Linked DNA regions of Arabidopsis thaliana. The protein of the gene in region 2 purifies or fractionates together with the protein of the main gene of each other region. This does not show direct contact. Each region holds a gene or a part of one and is shown on either strand. Other genes may lie near its edges.

Region 1 (8,123 bases), on a different chromosome or scaffold from region 2:
GAAGTGATGATGATGAGTTTCTAGTGATGAAGGTGAAAGGAGAGCTGCAACAATGGCTGCCAATGCTCTCCATTGGAGGTGGTGTGATAAGAGATTTTTTTGTTTGTGTTCAGTCTTCAAAGTATCAAAGCCAGTAACAATCAATTATAGAGAGTTTCGCTTTTTCCTATGGGGAAATTGCCAAAATCACATGTCCATAAAATATCTTCTAAATATGATTTTTATTGATTATTTAATATTTTTGAAAGAATAAATAAAAATATTTAACTCTTCTTCAATCTTAAACCATTCTTTTCGTAAAAAATACGTAAAGATAGATCAATCATAAATGTCCTAGGAATAAGATACGTATTAGGTAATGTTTTTCTTTTGAAATTAAAATAAAAGTATTTATATATATATTTTTGATGCACTTTTTGATCAAAAATCTCTCTAATATTTACTAATAACATATGAGTTTTTATAAATTCTATCTCAACCAAAATGTTATATTCTTAAAAATTTACAAATCGTTAATTTGCATTAAATACTTGAATTAACTATTTTCTTTATTTCTTTTTTAGTCCCTACAAAATTTATCTAAAAATATTTTATTTTAAATTTAAATCTTTAATTAATTTTTATATTTATTAAATTACATTCAATTAATTGCTAATTTCCTAAAATCTATATATCTACATTAATAATAAATATATGATTTTTCTTTCATTTTTATTTGTTCTTATATCTAATTTATTTTTATTTGATATATATAATACATATAGTTAAAAATATATTAGTTTTTTCTGCATATGAGGTAATTCAAAATTTTAAAAACACACATATACTACTCAATCGATGAAGAAAAAAAATAAGTAGAAAAAATCCCACATTACTTTAAAAAATTGAGTAATAGTTCAGAGTCATACATGGCTTTCAAAGCAAAAACTATAGCCTACATAACAAGGTTCAACACAACCTGATTACAAAGAATTCTATAAAACAAAGATGGGCCTATTTCTTTGATCACACTGTGTCTTAGTAAAAACTAAGAGTCTCAAAGTCTGTAATCTGAAAAATCAAAGGAAGAAAAATTCAGGGAAACGAAACAAACACAAATGAGAAATCAAATAAATTAGCGAACCAAATTACAAAAACCTAAAACAGGAGGGAAAGCACTTACTCTTGTTATAAGAAGTAGACTTGACAAAAATAATCTTAAAAGGAAAAGATGATAACACTGAAGAGTTTGGAACAACTTTCTGACGGGAGATGGATTAGGTCGAGGGAGATTATACTATTAACAGAGGAAAAAAACCAAAAAAAACTCCATTTATTTTTAATTTGTTCATACCTGCGTTATTTAATTTGGCCGTTTAATACCTAAGTTAATTTTTATGTTCATTAAAAACCTTCATTTTTTTAAATTTTGGCAAAATCAGACATGCGAGTTAACGGGCGTTAACAATGGTAACGGAATCGCTAACCGCAGTTAAAACTTAACCATATAATGTTTACTATTTATATACAATTTGTTTTCTAATAGTTATGATCATATTATCTTAGTCCCAGTGGTTTTGAGAGAGATTATCATCCTCATCAGTTCGAGATCGATTCTCATCTCCAACAAATTTTTTGATTTTTTTTTTTAACAAAAGGCAAAATCTCAGTAATCCGAGTTACGATTTTGAATTTGATTCTGAGACTTTCTTTTGTTTAGCACCACGTTTGTTAGATCTGCTTCAATTCGATTTTGAGAACGAGCTAAATTAGATTCCTTCATCTCTTCAATTCATATTAAGGTTTTCAATTTCTAGATCGATTGATATGAATAAGTCAGCAAAGATTGCATATTCCCAGTTTTTGCTGATATTTTGCGTTGAAAAATCCAGACTTTGTTTTTCATTGTTAGTAACGTTGATAGCTTATAGAAAGATTATGTTACCATTAATTGCATCTGTTGATAACAAATAAGATCGATTATCACAAATCTATGTTGTATTAATTGGTCTAACATTTGGGACTTTTGGTTGGTGATTGATTTTGGTGCAATATCCTTTGGAGAAAGAAGTGAAGCAACACACAAGTGCAAAGCCTGTTGAAGTGAAAGAGATGGCTGACTTCGATTTTGCCTTTTTGTTAAAAAAAAAAGAAAAAAAATCAAAAAAAATTTTGGAGATGATAATCGATTTTGAATCGATGATGATGGTAATCTCTCTCATAACCACTCGACTAAAATAATATGTTCATAATTATTAGAAAACAAATTGTATATAAATAGTAAACATTATATGGTTAAGTTTTAACTACAGTTAGCGATTTCGTTACCACTGTTAACGCCCGTTAACTCGGATGTCTGATTTTGCTAAAATTAAAAAAAAAAAAAAGGTTTTCAATAAACATAAAAATTAACTTAAATATTAAACAGGTAAATTAAATAACGCATGTATTAAACGGACAAATTAAAAATAAATGAAGTATTTTTTGTATTTTTTCCCTCTTAACAAATTAGGTTAACAATTCTCCCGTTCTCACGCATCTTTACCTAATCTTCCGGATATAAAAATACTATTACTTTGTTTTGATCTTACAAAAAGGCCCAATGTGTGAAATATTAGTTAATGGGCCTTAGGGATGGGCTTCTCAACCTAAAATGAAAAGCACGAGAGAGGATGAAAGAAATCGGAGAAGGCAGTAGGATCTTCCACTTGCCGCTCTTTGAAAATCACTCGCCGTGTCTCTCTAAGCTTCTTCTTCACTGTGAAAACCTCAGATCGCAAATATGCACGCACCGGTACTCGTTCTGAGTGAGTATCTCCATCTTCCTCCAGATCTCATTTCCTCTAAATCGATATTAGTTTTTTGGTAACGAGATTAACTCCTTTTGTGAAAATGGTTTAGGCGATTCGTTGAAGCGTGAATCTGGAAGTAAGGTTCATCATGGTAATATCCAAGCTTCCAAGGTAAATTAATCCTTTTCTATGGCTCTTTTTCTCTGTGATGCTTGTTGCTTCTCTCCTCTGGTTTCAGATCATCGTTGTTTTTGTGGTACAGGCTGTTGCTGATATCATTCGTACAACATTGGGTCCTCGTTCTATGTTGAAGATGCTTCTTGATGCTGGTGGAGGTCTTTTTCTAAACACTTCCTCTTTTTTTTAGGCTTTTCATATCTCTGTATGTGGGTAGTAGATCTCTGTAGTGAGGGAATTAGGTTTAGTGTTTTTAGCTTTGGAAATGTTTTTCTTATGTACTCGTTCTTTGTTGAAGCTATTGTTCTTCAGTTTCGGTGTTAGTTTTATATAAACCCTAAATCAATATTTGGGTTCTGTTTGTCTTGTTTTTTTTTTTTTTCTGTCTACCTTTAATTTTTCTTAATCTGTGTGTTATCATCATATCTTACCCCTCTTTGTTTCTTGGATCTTTACAGGGATTGTTGTTACTAATGATGGGAATGCTATTCTTCGTGAGCTAGATGTCGCTCATCCTGCAGCTAAGGTTTTACTTCTGACCTTTCTCTATCTATTGTTCTTGTTAAAATTGTTTTACTTATCCATTTTTGACTCTGGTGATTGCAGTCAATGATTGAGTTGAGCCGTACGCAAGATGAAGAAGTTGGTGATGGGACAACGTCTGTTATTGTTCTAGGTACGAACATTCTTTTTTGCTAACAAATAGTTTGTCAATGGCTTGGTTTGGACCAGTTTTAATGTATTTTTAACTAAAGCACAAACAAATTACTTAAGGATATTATGGGTGCTGCAGTATTCAGTTCAACATCATGATCTCTGTTTATAATCATGGGTTCTTGAAGTCCTCTTTTTGTTTGCTTTTTGCCAACAGCTGGTGAAATGCTTCACGTTGCAGAAGCGTTTCTTGAGAAGAATTACCATCCCACAGTCATATGCCGAGGTATGCTGGCACTATGAATTGCTTATTGTTGTCATGTTACACATGTCGTTTTCATCTTAACGAATGCATTCTTCTCTGCAGCTTACATCAAGGCTCTCGAAGATTCTATTGCTGTTCTTGACAAAATTGCTATGTCAATTGATATCAATGACCGTAAGTCCATTTCTACCTTGTATTTGTTCATTTGGAGTTGACCTTCAGCTACTTTGGTTTCTGAAGTTAGTTTTTCTTTCACGTTTGTACTGATGGAAGAATGTGTGAGTTGCAGGTTCACAAGTGCTAGGATTAGTCAAGAGCTGCATAGGGACAAAGTTCACTAGCCAATTTGGAGATCTTATTGCGGTAAGTACCGTAATTACAGTAGCTTCTTACTTATGCATTACCAGTCCAGGTTTTATTGCTCCTTAATATATATTGGATATGTCTAGACAAGTAGGTATAGATACAGCATACATCTTGAAGTGACTTTTTAAATGTAAGATGAGTAACCATGAAATAACTTGAATTTGATGACTGCTTTCTTCAATTCTTTTGGTGGTTTTCGATTGTTGAAATACTTGTAGTATGAAGTTCTACAAGTTTGATTGTCGTTGGTACTCACATGATTTTATATGACTTTATGTACTGTTTTAGGATTTGGCTATTGATGCCACTACTACTGTTGGTGTTGATCTTGGACAAGGTTTGAGGGAGGTAGACATTAAAAAGTACATCAAGGTTGAGAAAGTTCCTGGTGGTCAGTTCGAGGACTCTGAGGTTCTTAAAGGAGTTATGTTTAACAAAGATGTTGTTGCTCCTGGTAAAATGAAAAGAAAGATTGTCAACCCACGGATTATTCTTCTTGACTGTCCTCTTGAGTACAAGAAAGGTGAAAATCAAACCAATGCTGAGTTGGTTAGAGAAGAGGACTGGGAAGTGTTGTTGAAGTTGGAAGAGGAATATATCGAGAACATTTGCGTTCAAATACTAAAGTTCAAGCCTGATTTGGTTATCACAGAGAAGGGTCTTAGTGACTTGGCCTGTCACTATTTCAGTAAAGCTGGGGTAAGTGCAATCCGAAGGTTGAGAAAAACTGACAACAACAGAATCGCCAAGGCTTGTGGAGCAGTAATTGTGAACAGGCCCGACGAACTGCAGGAGTCTGATATCGGTACTGGGGCTGGCTTGTTTGAGGTCAAGAAAATTGGAGATGATTTCTTTTCTTTCATTGTTGATTGCAAAGAACCCAAAGCCTGTACTGTACTCTTAAGGGGACCAAGTAAAGATTTCATCAATGAAGTGGAAAGAAATTTACAGGTTCGTTGGTGTTATTTACAAATCTGTATTTCTTAATCATTCATAACCTTATATGCCTGAAACATTGTCCCTACAGGATGCCATGTCTGTTGCAAGAAACATTATCAAAAACCCAAAGCTAGTTCCTGGTGGAGGAGCCACAGAGCTAACCGTTTCTGCCACATTAAAACAGAAGAGTGCAACAATTGAAGGCATAGAAAAGGTCGGTTTTGCTTTTATTACATTTTGTTTCCTTGCCTAAAGTTGTGTGATTTTGTGTCAAATCTATATCGAGCCTCTAAAACGAGTATGCTGTTCCCACGGTCGCTGATAAATGTTCTTTTGTTGGTCTGAATCTTATTTAAACAGTGGCCTTATGAAGCAGCTGCCATTGCTTTCGAGGCTATTCCACGTACCCTGGCTCAAAACTGTGGGGTTAACGTGATCCGTACTATGACTGCATTGCAAGGGAAGGTACTGTCCTGTACTAATGAACCCCAACTGCCATCTCTTGCCCGTTGTTTAAGTATATACCAACTCTTTTCTCAATGCTTCAATTGTCGGTTTTGGTGCAGCATGCAAATGGTGAAAACGCATGGACTGGTATTGACGGGAACACTGGTGCAATAGCTGATATGAAAGAGAGCAAGGTAAGGATTAAATCACATAACCTTGGTTGATTCTCACAACATGAAACCAATGTGACTCAGAGAGTTGACTAAAAGCTTTTAACAATTTTCCAGATATGGGATTCGTACAATGTGAAGGCGCAAACTTTCAAGACGGCTATAGAAGCAGCGTGTATGCTTCTAAGGATCGATGATATAGTGAGTGGAATCAAGAAGAAGCAAGCTCCTGGATCTGGACCTTCAAAGCCTACCATTGAGACAGAAGGAGATGCAGACAACGAACAAATTCTTCCCGACTAAGCGAAGGGAGAAACACTTTGGTCTCAGCATAACTCAATCTCTGTTTTCACTTGTTTAATGGTTGCACTCTTTTGGCTATTATCTTCCCTTGACATATCTTTTAATTCTGCAGTTTGACTTGGTGAGATAAGATTTTCGAGGGTGGTTTTTTTTTGTTTGTTTTGGAATATTAGCTTTTTTGAATTTTCGTAGTCACTTTGTTGGTTTTTAGAGTGCTAGTTGTTATTGTCTTTTTGAAATTTCTGGCACTAGAGACTTTTTTAGTTTGTGTCGTTTTTGTTTGAATATCATCAAGTATGTACTTCAACTGGATCTTTAGTTGACCGGTTAGTGTCAAATTGTGTTTTTGTTTGAACACCATTAATTGCATTTCAGACGTACGGATCTGTTATTTAGAGTTTTGGGTTATTATTCAGGTTGACTCGGTCCGAATTTATTTATACGGGTTGGTTTTGTTACTGAAAACCTTTAAACTTCGCTAGTTAAATGAAAATTGAAAGTTTAGTTATGTTGATCTTGATCTAATTTTACAGTAAACTAGAGGAAATACGGGCTACGCCCAAATTTATTTTAAAATTTTATTTCTGTTTTTTGTATTGTTTTTAGTTCATATATTTTTTTTTAAATTTGCTATATCTAAATAGAAAATTAGTTTGAATTACTTATATTTTTATATACTATCTATTTGTGTTATTTAAAATGAAACTGAATCACCTTTTATTTTTATTTTATTTTATTAAAGATGATTGTAATATAAATAGTTTTTCTTAACTCAAAATAAATGGGTTTGTTTTCACAAGACTTTTTTATTTTTTCATTTCTTTGAGGTTTTGTTTTGAATAATTATTGGATTTTCTTTTGTTGGGTTTAGTTCATTAGTTGGAATTATGTATAGTAAACGTATTAAACTCAATGGGTGGATAATTTGTAAAATTTATTTGTAAAAGCTAATTTTGTATTATTAGATTGGTAGCATATTGTTCAATTCTGCATATATACTAATCATTTATTAAATAAAAAAAGTTAATAGTTCTTATTATGTATAAAGATTCGTTAATATTTTCAAAATTAGTTATTTGTAATTAACGTAAATTTGATTTTTTGATTTTTTAATTAAAATAATGAATTACATTACCTTCTTTTTTGTCAACTAATAATTTATATTACCTAAATTTTATAAAAACTGTCATTGAAAAATTGGACTTTGTGATCTCAGAAATAAATTATAAAAATATTAAGTTTCTTTTATTTAGTTTTGTTAGTTTAAACCATTTTAATTGAAATCCAAGAAAAAAATAATATTTTATTTTAAGCATTTAATTTGCTTTTGTTTTTGAAGTAAAAAAATCAACACTTATTTTTTCTAGTAATATTTATTAAAACATTATTTATTTTTTGTTTTCTAAATTTTTTTTTAATAATTTGGTGACATTGCATTTAGAGAGAGTATTTAAAAGAAAATATGATGTGGCATCTCTAAAATGATTTTTGGAATGATGATGAGGATGACTTGAGAAGCCTCAAATTGTTTCTTTTATTAGCAGTAGATAATACTATTTTAATCATATACTATCGTTTTCTTATACATTTTATATGGGAAAAAACTCTAAAAAAACCTCATATATTTTTAATTTGCCCGTTTAATACTTCGGTTATTTAATTTGTCCGAACAATACCTAGGTTTATTTCTTTTCGCTTTAAAATCTTTCGTTTAGTTTTTGTTTGGAAAAATCAGCTTCTCGGGTTAACGACTGTTAACTTCGTTAACGGTGTGTCTAACTGAGGTTAATACTTAACCCCACGTGTTTTATTCGCCCAATATAAAGACACTGTTACCCTTAACGAAAACCCCCAAATCGATTTGTTATTATAAACCCTAGTTCTATTAGCTCTTCTTTACAAGAACTCTTCTTATTTCCAAAAATGATGAGCCAAAGTTCAGGGTCTGATGCGAATTCAATTAGCCGTAGCTGAGTCCTCTTTGCAATTGTGGTAGGGCAACGACAGTTACAAAGTCATGGACAAATGAAA
Region 2 (7,085 bases):
ATAATCTGATACATAGTGATTTATGAATTGACAGACGAAGAGAAAGTTAAGAGGCATCGAGGAACAGAGAAAGATGATGAAAGGAGAAGTAGGAGAAGTGATAAGAAGGATAAGAAATCTCACAAGCACCACAAATCCAGTACATGTAAGATACTGTTTCTCATGTTTTGAGTTAGTAAATATTGTTCCATCCGTTTTAGAACCTTGATTATATGTTGAGTCAAGTTAAGTTTGTCGTATGATAAATTTGATGTGTTTGCTTCTTCATCTAGAGAGTGGTGTGTTTATAGTTATACCCATGTGAGCTGGAGTTTTCTTGTTCTTGTATGCCATTAACGGAGCATCAATTTAGCTTTGTCTTACCTATATTCTCCTAGAGAAGGAAGAGGTTGTAGTCGGAACCTGTTGGTTTGAGGGATTATAGGCAGCAAGAAATATCTTGTTTTGGTTACAGCTAAAGCAGCTATGTTTATCTTTCATCAGCATGACTTATATCATGTGTCTTTGCTTTTCAGTATGATCTGTTTTTCTTGCTGCTGACATTTTTTTTTCTCTTACAGCAAAGAAGTCCAAGGATGATAAGCCGAAAAAGAAACATACGGAAAGCGACCACAAGCTAGTGAGCTCTAACTTACCCTTTGAAATAGTTACCCATAAAAACATCTATTTGTATATTCACTTAAAAAGTCAAAAGTATATTGCTTTGGAGACTTTGTATGTGTGGTTCTTCGCTGGTCTCTTCAGTTGTTTAGTCATGGTTTAATTACAAAAGTCTTGTTGCCCTATTGTAATGTTTGACGGATTGTCATCCACACTGAGGTTCTGATTAAAATGCTTTTCTTTTCCGTTTTTTCTTCCAGAAAGAGGGAATTCCAGAGCTATCAATGGAAGACTACTTCTCGAAAAACAACGAGTTTGCTACATGGCTGAAAGAAGAAAAACGTACTTACTTTAATGATCTCACGACCGAAGCTGCACGAGGACTGTTCTCACGATTTGTCAAGAGATGGAACAGAGGAAAACTCGAGTCTCGATACTACGAGGGAATCTCCACTGCCCCACGAACAGCTCACGACTGGATGATCAAGCGTAGGTGAAAAAAAGCAAAAGCAATACCTTCCTCTTCTGTGGTTCGCCGGTTACCTCTCTTCTTGCTTCTTGTACACGTGAAGGTTGATTGCATCAGAGATATATTTCTATGTAGTTTCTCTACTTAGAACTTCTTGTTGCTGAACTAGTTAGATAGATTGTCGTGGAGAGATATGTAGTCGGTTTTCAGAGTAAGACAAACTTTACATATCCAAGGTCTTAACCAAAGTTGCCGAAGAACTATCTGATGAATCCTTATGTAACATTGAGAATTTGATATCCGGTTAAGGGAGAAATAGACCGTTTTGATTGAAAGTTGGTCTTGTACAGTATGTAAGTTCCTACTGGCATTTACAACACAGCGTATATGTAGCTTTGGCTAAGTAATTTGTGTGCATGAAACTTGGTTATATGAAACTGAATTTTCACAACAGACGTTTAAATGAGTGAAAAAACATATTCTAAATTATTGGGTCACGAGTCTCCTTAACAAATTCCAAAAGTTTTACAAAAGCAAGAACCATCAACTCTGAGAGTATACTGAGATTCAAATCAGGTTGGTTGCACGGTTAAGTGAAAGTTTTACTCGACTTCAGCCAAGTAATCATCGATTTCTGCTGGTGTTAGCACCCTGCATATAACATTCACTTTTCAGATATTGATGGGAATAACAAGATTTTTTGTTTATATTAGTTTTGTAGTCTTGAATGTTTACCTGAAAACTTTGTCAGTACCGATTTTGCCAATCTCGATGTTTTTGCTTGAGATTTCTCCCTCGAAACTGTGAAAAGACACGGAGGTTATAGGCTTTTGAGAAATTCTGAACTCTGGAAATAAAGTAAATTAAGTTTTGGTAAAAATGCTCACCCTTCCTTCAATGTCAATATTGCCGTGTGAATGGCATCATCAAGTTCCATATCTTCTGTGTACCTGATCAAAGACTAAGATGAAATGACATGCTTCCAAGATCATAAACTCATCACCACAAATGGTAAATTATTATCACCTCTTCTCAAGAAACGTCTTTGCATTCGAAACATTCTTTCCCATTGCAGAAGCTTTCCATGAGAAATAAGAGCCAGATGGATCCACCTAGTGGCCAATGAAAATTATGAAATAAGATGTTTTCAGTTTACGGGTTTTACTTCACTTTGAGCAGGATGGTTATATTTTCTTTAAAGTTCTACTTACTTGATACAGTTGTGGACCCTTGTCATCATACCCAGCCACCAGTAGAGAAACTCCAAACGGCCTAACACCACTATTAACAGCAGAAGGAGACAGAGATTAGAAGCAAGATTCAGTAGTCTAGTTTGCAAATACAGATTTGCATTAACAACATTATCTCACGCCAAATCAATATCAAAACTGAGCTAAAAAGTGCATAGAGAGACTCGCTCTAGAGTTGCAATCTCTGAGCCAATAACACTTTTGAACCCTGTTGAGCATATGAGAGGAAGTAATTACATAACACTCGATATAGTACTTACCCCGATTGAGTGAACTCTTGCATCACCGTGGCAGTTTCCCTTACAAGTTGAGTAACGGGGATGGGTTCCTGCAACAATAAACGCCCTTAGAAGTTGAATCAACAGAGCGATCTGGATTTATGAATAAGCAAGAACTTATATCAACTGGAATCATCAATCCAAAGTTTTTATCATACATGTACTACTAGACACTCCAGGAAAAGAAGACAAAAAAACAGAAGATATTAAAGATTACCTTGTACAGACGGAGATATTGCTCAGCCTGCTTCCTACTCTTTCGCACAAGAACTCGGAAATCAGGACCCATACCACTACATAAAAGGCAATACCAAAGTTAGCACTGAAATCATTAGGGTACTAAGGGAAAGGTTCCATCAGTAGCACTAGCACCTGATGAGAGAGACTAAGTACCCAAAACAAAATAAAAAATGTATGATAAATCCAATTTGCAAGCTATAAAACCAAATTCGCTATTAAAAAAGAAGTATGGATAGCTGAAGAGAAGAACCTGTAAACAGTTCCAATGTTGGGAGTCAAATGTTGAATCTTTTGAACCTGAAACAGACAATAGATAAACATTAGTTTCGTAGGAGTTACTGAAACTATGCAACCGAAAGGAAAGTAACACGAGCAGGCACAGAATGAAAAAGAACTAATTGCTATAAAGAGTTGATCAAACTTACAGACGCTTCATCAACCAATATAGAAGGAAGTTTCTTTTCAGTTGCAATGACAACTCCATTTGAAGCTGCATAAAGAAAACAACAGTCATGATTACCAAAGACAATGTTCCTTAAAAATCTCCTCTCGAATTTGATTAGATCATTGAAAAAACCTTTAATTCCAAGTGATGTTTGGCCTGATCCAACAGCTGTTAGGGCATGTTCTATCTGAACCAGCTTCCCTGATGGGCTGTTTCATAAACCACAACATGAATCAAACCCCGAAGAAACCGTTCCAAATGCTCAGAAAGAGATAACATTGATATGATAAACAAAGTTAATACCTGAAGGTGGTGAGAGAAAACGAGTACTGACTGTCCCCCATTGAAAACCAACTAAATCAAGCTGCAAAAAATGCGAAATAGTGTCATCTCTGGAAATTTAGAAACGTGGAAGCTAAATCTGTTCTTCATCAACAATGTTCAAACTTAAATGAAAAGAAACCACGTCTGAGCAAGTAAGTAGACTGAAGCGTTCAAATCTGACAAAGCTTAAAAACCCGGAAGAGTCTCATCGCCATGGGCAATGTGTAAGGAAAACGATGAAAAAGACAAGATATACCAACCCTAATTAAGAATTGTGAGTGAATCAAATCAAACACAAACTCAAACTCAAAGATCAGCTCTTAGCTCAAACTCAGAGACGAAAATTGAAAACTTTTCTTAAACCCCAAATTCAATATATTTAAAGTTATCAATTTAAATTCAACAAAAGAAACCCATTCAATCAAAGCAACATACCTTTGATATATGGATCGAACGGAATGGTCGCAAGAGAAGAGAGAGAGAAGAGACCCAAGTGAAGAATTTTTAAGCTCTCAAGGTTTCTTGCACAAAGGGTGAGAGTCTGACGCCAGAAAACGAGAGAAACAAAAAAACCAAAACGGCGGCGTTTTAACAACTTCACAGTTACTGTATCTTACATAATAGTCCAATATTTTATATCTCTTTTCAGTTTGAACCACATTATTTATTTACTACCCCTAGTCCCCTACTCTCTCTCGCTTCCACGCCCGACTCGGACTCAAACCTGGTCCGAATTGGCTGTGTCTCTCTCCATCGCCTCCTTCTTCTCTGACAAACTCTCCTCCGTTGGTCGGAGTTTGTTTCTTCGCTCGTTCATCACAAGCTTCGTGTACTGGTAATTGTTCCATTTTTTCTAGCTATTTCGGAAAATTGGATGGAAGAAGCATCTGAAATACGCGTGTAAATGTCGCTGATTGTGTCGTTGAGGCAGAGCCATTGTTGATTCTTAGAGAAAATTTGCTCCTTTATTTCTCCAGTTTGTTAAACTCTCGATTACGCCCTTGAAATGCATTCGACCGGGAAGAGAAATTTCTTAGCTGTTATCAGATTATTGTTTACTAGTTCGAGCTTGGTCAGAAAGGCTGGTTGTAGAAATCTCATTTCTGCTACCTTTACCACCAGGTGTTCGACGTTATGCCTGAATGAATCTGAAGAATGCATTGAGGATTCTGATCTATCGTCTAGGAGAAAAAAATTTGATTATGTTGGAGAAGTTGGTGAAAAAGAGAAAGTGAGAGATATTACTAGTAGTCCTTTACAAGTTTTACGAAGATGGGGTTGTGATGATGATGAAATATCCAAGCTTTTTACTCGTAGGCCTGCTTTGCAGAGAGCCAATGTTGCTCAGTTAGAGTTTAAGTTAAGCCTTCTTAAGCCACTGGGAATCACGTCTTCAGACCTTGTGAAGATTCTTAACTGTCGTCCTAGGTTCTTTAGTTGCCGTCTTGTCCTTGATGAAAGGATCAACTACTTCATGGAGATTTTGGGGTCAAAAGAGGTGTTGCGCAGAGTCATTATCCGGAATCCGTCACTCATGTTGTATGACCTCGATGACAAGATCAAACCCGCGATAGAATACTACAAAGGGTTGGGCTTTAGCCAACAGGATCTTGTCGCAATGTTGATATCGCGACCCACGTTGATTCCAAGAACAAACTTTAACAATGAGAAGTTTGAATACATTGAGAAAACTGGAGTCACCAGAGAATCCAAGATGTTTAAATATGTTGCAGTCATCATCGGGGTCTCGAGGATGGAGACAATCGAAGAGAAAGTTAGAAACTTGGAAAAGTTTGGGTTCTCGGAAGAAGAGATTTGGCACCTGTATGGAAAATGCCCAATCCTTCTCTCTCTCTCTGTTGAGAAAGTTCAGAGAAACATGACTTTCGTCATAGCCTCGATGAAACTTCCAGCTCATTCCGTGGTTAAGCACCCTTGTTTGCTTCTCCTCAACCTCGAGTCTCGTCTAAAACCTCGTGCGGATCTCGTTAAGAGAGTCTTGGAAATGCGTCTAAAGCCATTGATAAAAGAAGTGAGCATTTTCAGAGCGGTAAGGATGAGCGAGAAACGGTTCTTGAAGGTTTATGTAATGTGTCATCCACAAGATATTGCAACCGAGCTGATGGAGTTTTACGAGAAATCCAAAAACATGAAACGTTTAGCTGAGAAATCCAAGAAATACATCCGTAAAGGATTCCCCTTTTGAATCTCTTTTTCATCTTTTGTTTCTTTGGATATGTTCATTAAAGATGTAACATTGTGTAGAATTTTCCAGCTTTATCAATGGATACTTTTGAATCGGTTCATGTTTTGGTTTAGATCAGATTAGTTAAACCGGAATAGAAAAATATCAAAACACAAAACGCGAAGAAGCACGTTTGGTGAAACGAAACGCCAAAGACGCCCTAGACGTGTCTCTCTTCCAGACCCGTTCGTGGCGGCAGTGACAAAATCCTCTTTATTGATAAAAACGTTTGCAAAGTTGCAACCTTTTTGGGTTTAGTACTTGAAGAGAATCAATCTGACAGCAAATAGTTTTGGCGTCTTTCTAACTCAACCCATCATCTCTGTTGCATTTTATCGAGAGAATATTTGAGGTGGATATGGCCTCGACCCTTTTCTCCAGAACTTTCTTGGCTGCTAGTCACCGACTGATTACTCCTTCTCTTCCGCAAAAGATCTTTAATCCAGCCACCTTTCTCAGTGTAAGTCGATATCTGATTCGCGATCTGTTCTCAATTAGCCATTCGTTTGACCACTCGTTAGCTTCTGGGTTTGAGAGTGTCTGGATTGATTTCGAGCGTTTGGATTGTTTCTATGATTTGACAGTGGTTCTACTGGGTTTTCGAGCTTTTGAAATGTTGAATAGACTATAGAGAATTGCTTAATTGTTGATGAGGTCTATGTCAATCGATGCTTTTCTTATCAAAGTTTGAAATTGGACTTATGAGTTTTGTAATCATAAATTAGGTAGTGAAGTTTTATGTGAATTGCTCAGTTTCGCCTCTCTGTATATGATTCTGACTTTTTGGTTGGTCTTCCTCTTCTTGTGTTGGTAATTGCTGAAGAGGTCACTCCACTCTCAGTTAGGCTCCGCTTCTACAGCCTATAAATCAACTACTTGGGCTCGTCGAGCTATGGCTTCTACTGGAGTTGAGACAAAAGCCGGTTACTCCACATCATCCGTATCAACCAGTGAACCTGTTGTTTCTGTTGATTGGCTTCATGCTAATCTTAGAGAGCCTGATTTGAAGGTGACTGCCCTTTCTCCTAGTTCACTTCTTGGAGAATATGTCTGCCAAACTTAAACTTACCTGTTTGTATGCTGTTCAGATTTTGGATGCTTCATGGTATATGCCGGATGAGCAGAGAAATCCGATCCAAGAATATCAGGTGAGAGTATGAACAGATAGAATTTTGAGAACTTCTTTGTTTTCACAATTGTTCAGGTTGTATTCATTCTGGATGAGCGAAACCAC

Evidence for each region. The genes of interacting proteins can lie anywhere in the genome.
Region 1: the proteins of AT1G79210 (region 2) and AT5G26360 fractionate together in Arabidopsis thaliana (co-fractionation; one large-scale study listed by BioGRID). This does not show direct contact.

What each region holds. Positions count from the first base shown.
Region 1 is NC_003076.8:9,253,530-9,261,652, reverse strand, and holds AT5G26360 (TCP-1/cpn60 chaperonin family protein), read left to right. Parts: upstream 1-2,624; 5' UTR 2,625-2,761; coding exon 2,762-2,786; intron 2,787-2,880; coding exon 2,881-2,942; intron 2,943-3,033; coding exon 3,034-3,106; intron 3,107-3,406; coding exon 3,407-3,474; intron 3,475-3,554; coding exon 3,555-3,624; intron 3,625-3,819; coding exon 3,820-3,888; intron 3,889-3,969; coding exon 3,970-4,041; intron 4,042-4,156; coding exon 4,157-4,230; intron 4,231-4,521; coding exon 4,522-5,184; intron 5,185-5,260; coding exon 5,261-5,386; intron 5,387-5,532; coding exon 5,533-5,637; intron 5,638-5,738; coding exon 5,739-5,813; intron 5,814-5,906; coding exon 5,907-6,092; 3' UTR 6,093-6,600; downstream 6,601-8,123. Other genes in the region: PWD (chloroplastidic phosphoglucan, water dikinase (ATGWD3)), read right to left, coding at 1-73. UniProt on the Arabidopsis thaliana protein: Molecular chaperone; assists the folding of proteins upon ATP hydrolysis. Known to play a role, in vitro, in the folding of actin and tubulin.
Region 2 is NC_003070.9:29,794,615-29,801,699, forward strand, and holds AT1G79210 (N-terminal nucleophile aminohydrolases (Ntn hydrolases) superfamily protein), read right to left. Parts: upstream 4,223-7,085; 5' UTR 4,042-4,222; intron 3,704-4,041; exon of another isoform or gene 3,647-3,703; 5' UTR 3,627-3,646; coding exon 3,586-3,626; intron 3,492-3,585; coding exon 3,415-3,491; intron 3,328-3,414; coding exon 3,263-3,327; intron 3,135-3,262; coding exon 3,088-3,134; intron 2,891-3,087; coding exon 2,815-2,890; intron 2,648-2,814; coding exon 2,580-2,647; intron 2,351-2,579; coding exon 2,281-2,350; intron 2,182-2,280; coding exon 2,096-2,181; intron 2,020-2,095; coding exon 1,957-2,019; intron 1,871-1,956; coding exon 1,805-1,870; intron 1,721-1,804; coding exon 1,672-1,720; 3' UTR 1,467-1,671; downstream 1-1,466. Other genes in the region: SCI1 (splicing regulatory glutamine/lysine-rich-like protein), read left to right, coding at 35-145, 561-619, 861-1,097; AT1G79220 (Mitochondrial transcription termination factor family protein), read left to right, coding at 4,613-5,812; MST1 (mercaptopyruvate sulfurtransferase 1), read left to right, coding at 6,210-6,311, 6,675-6,860, 6,940-6,999. UniProt on the Arabidopsis thaliana protein: The proteasome is a multicatalytic proteinase complex which is characterized by its ability to cleave peptides with Arg, Phe, Tyr, Leu, and Glu adjacent to the leaving group at neutral or slightly basic pH.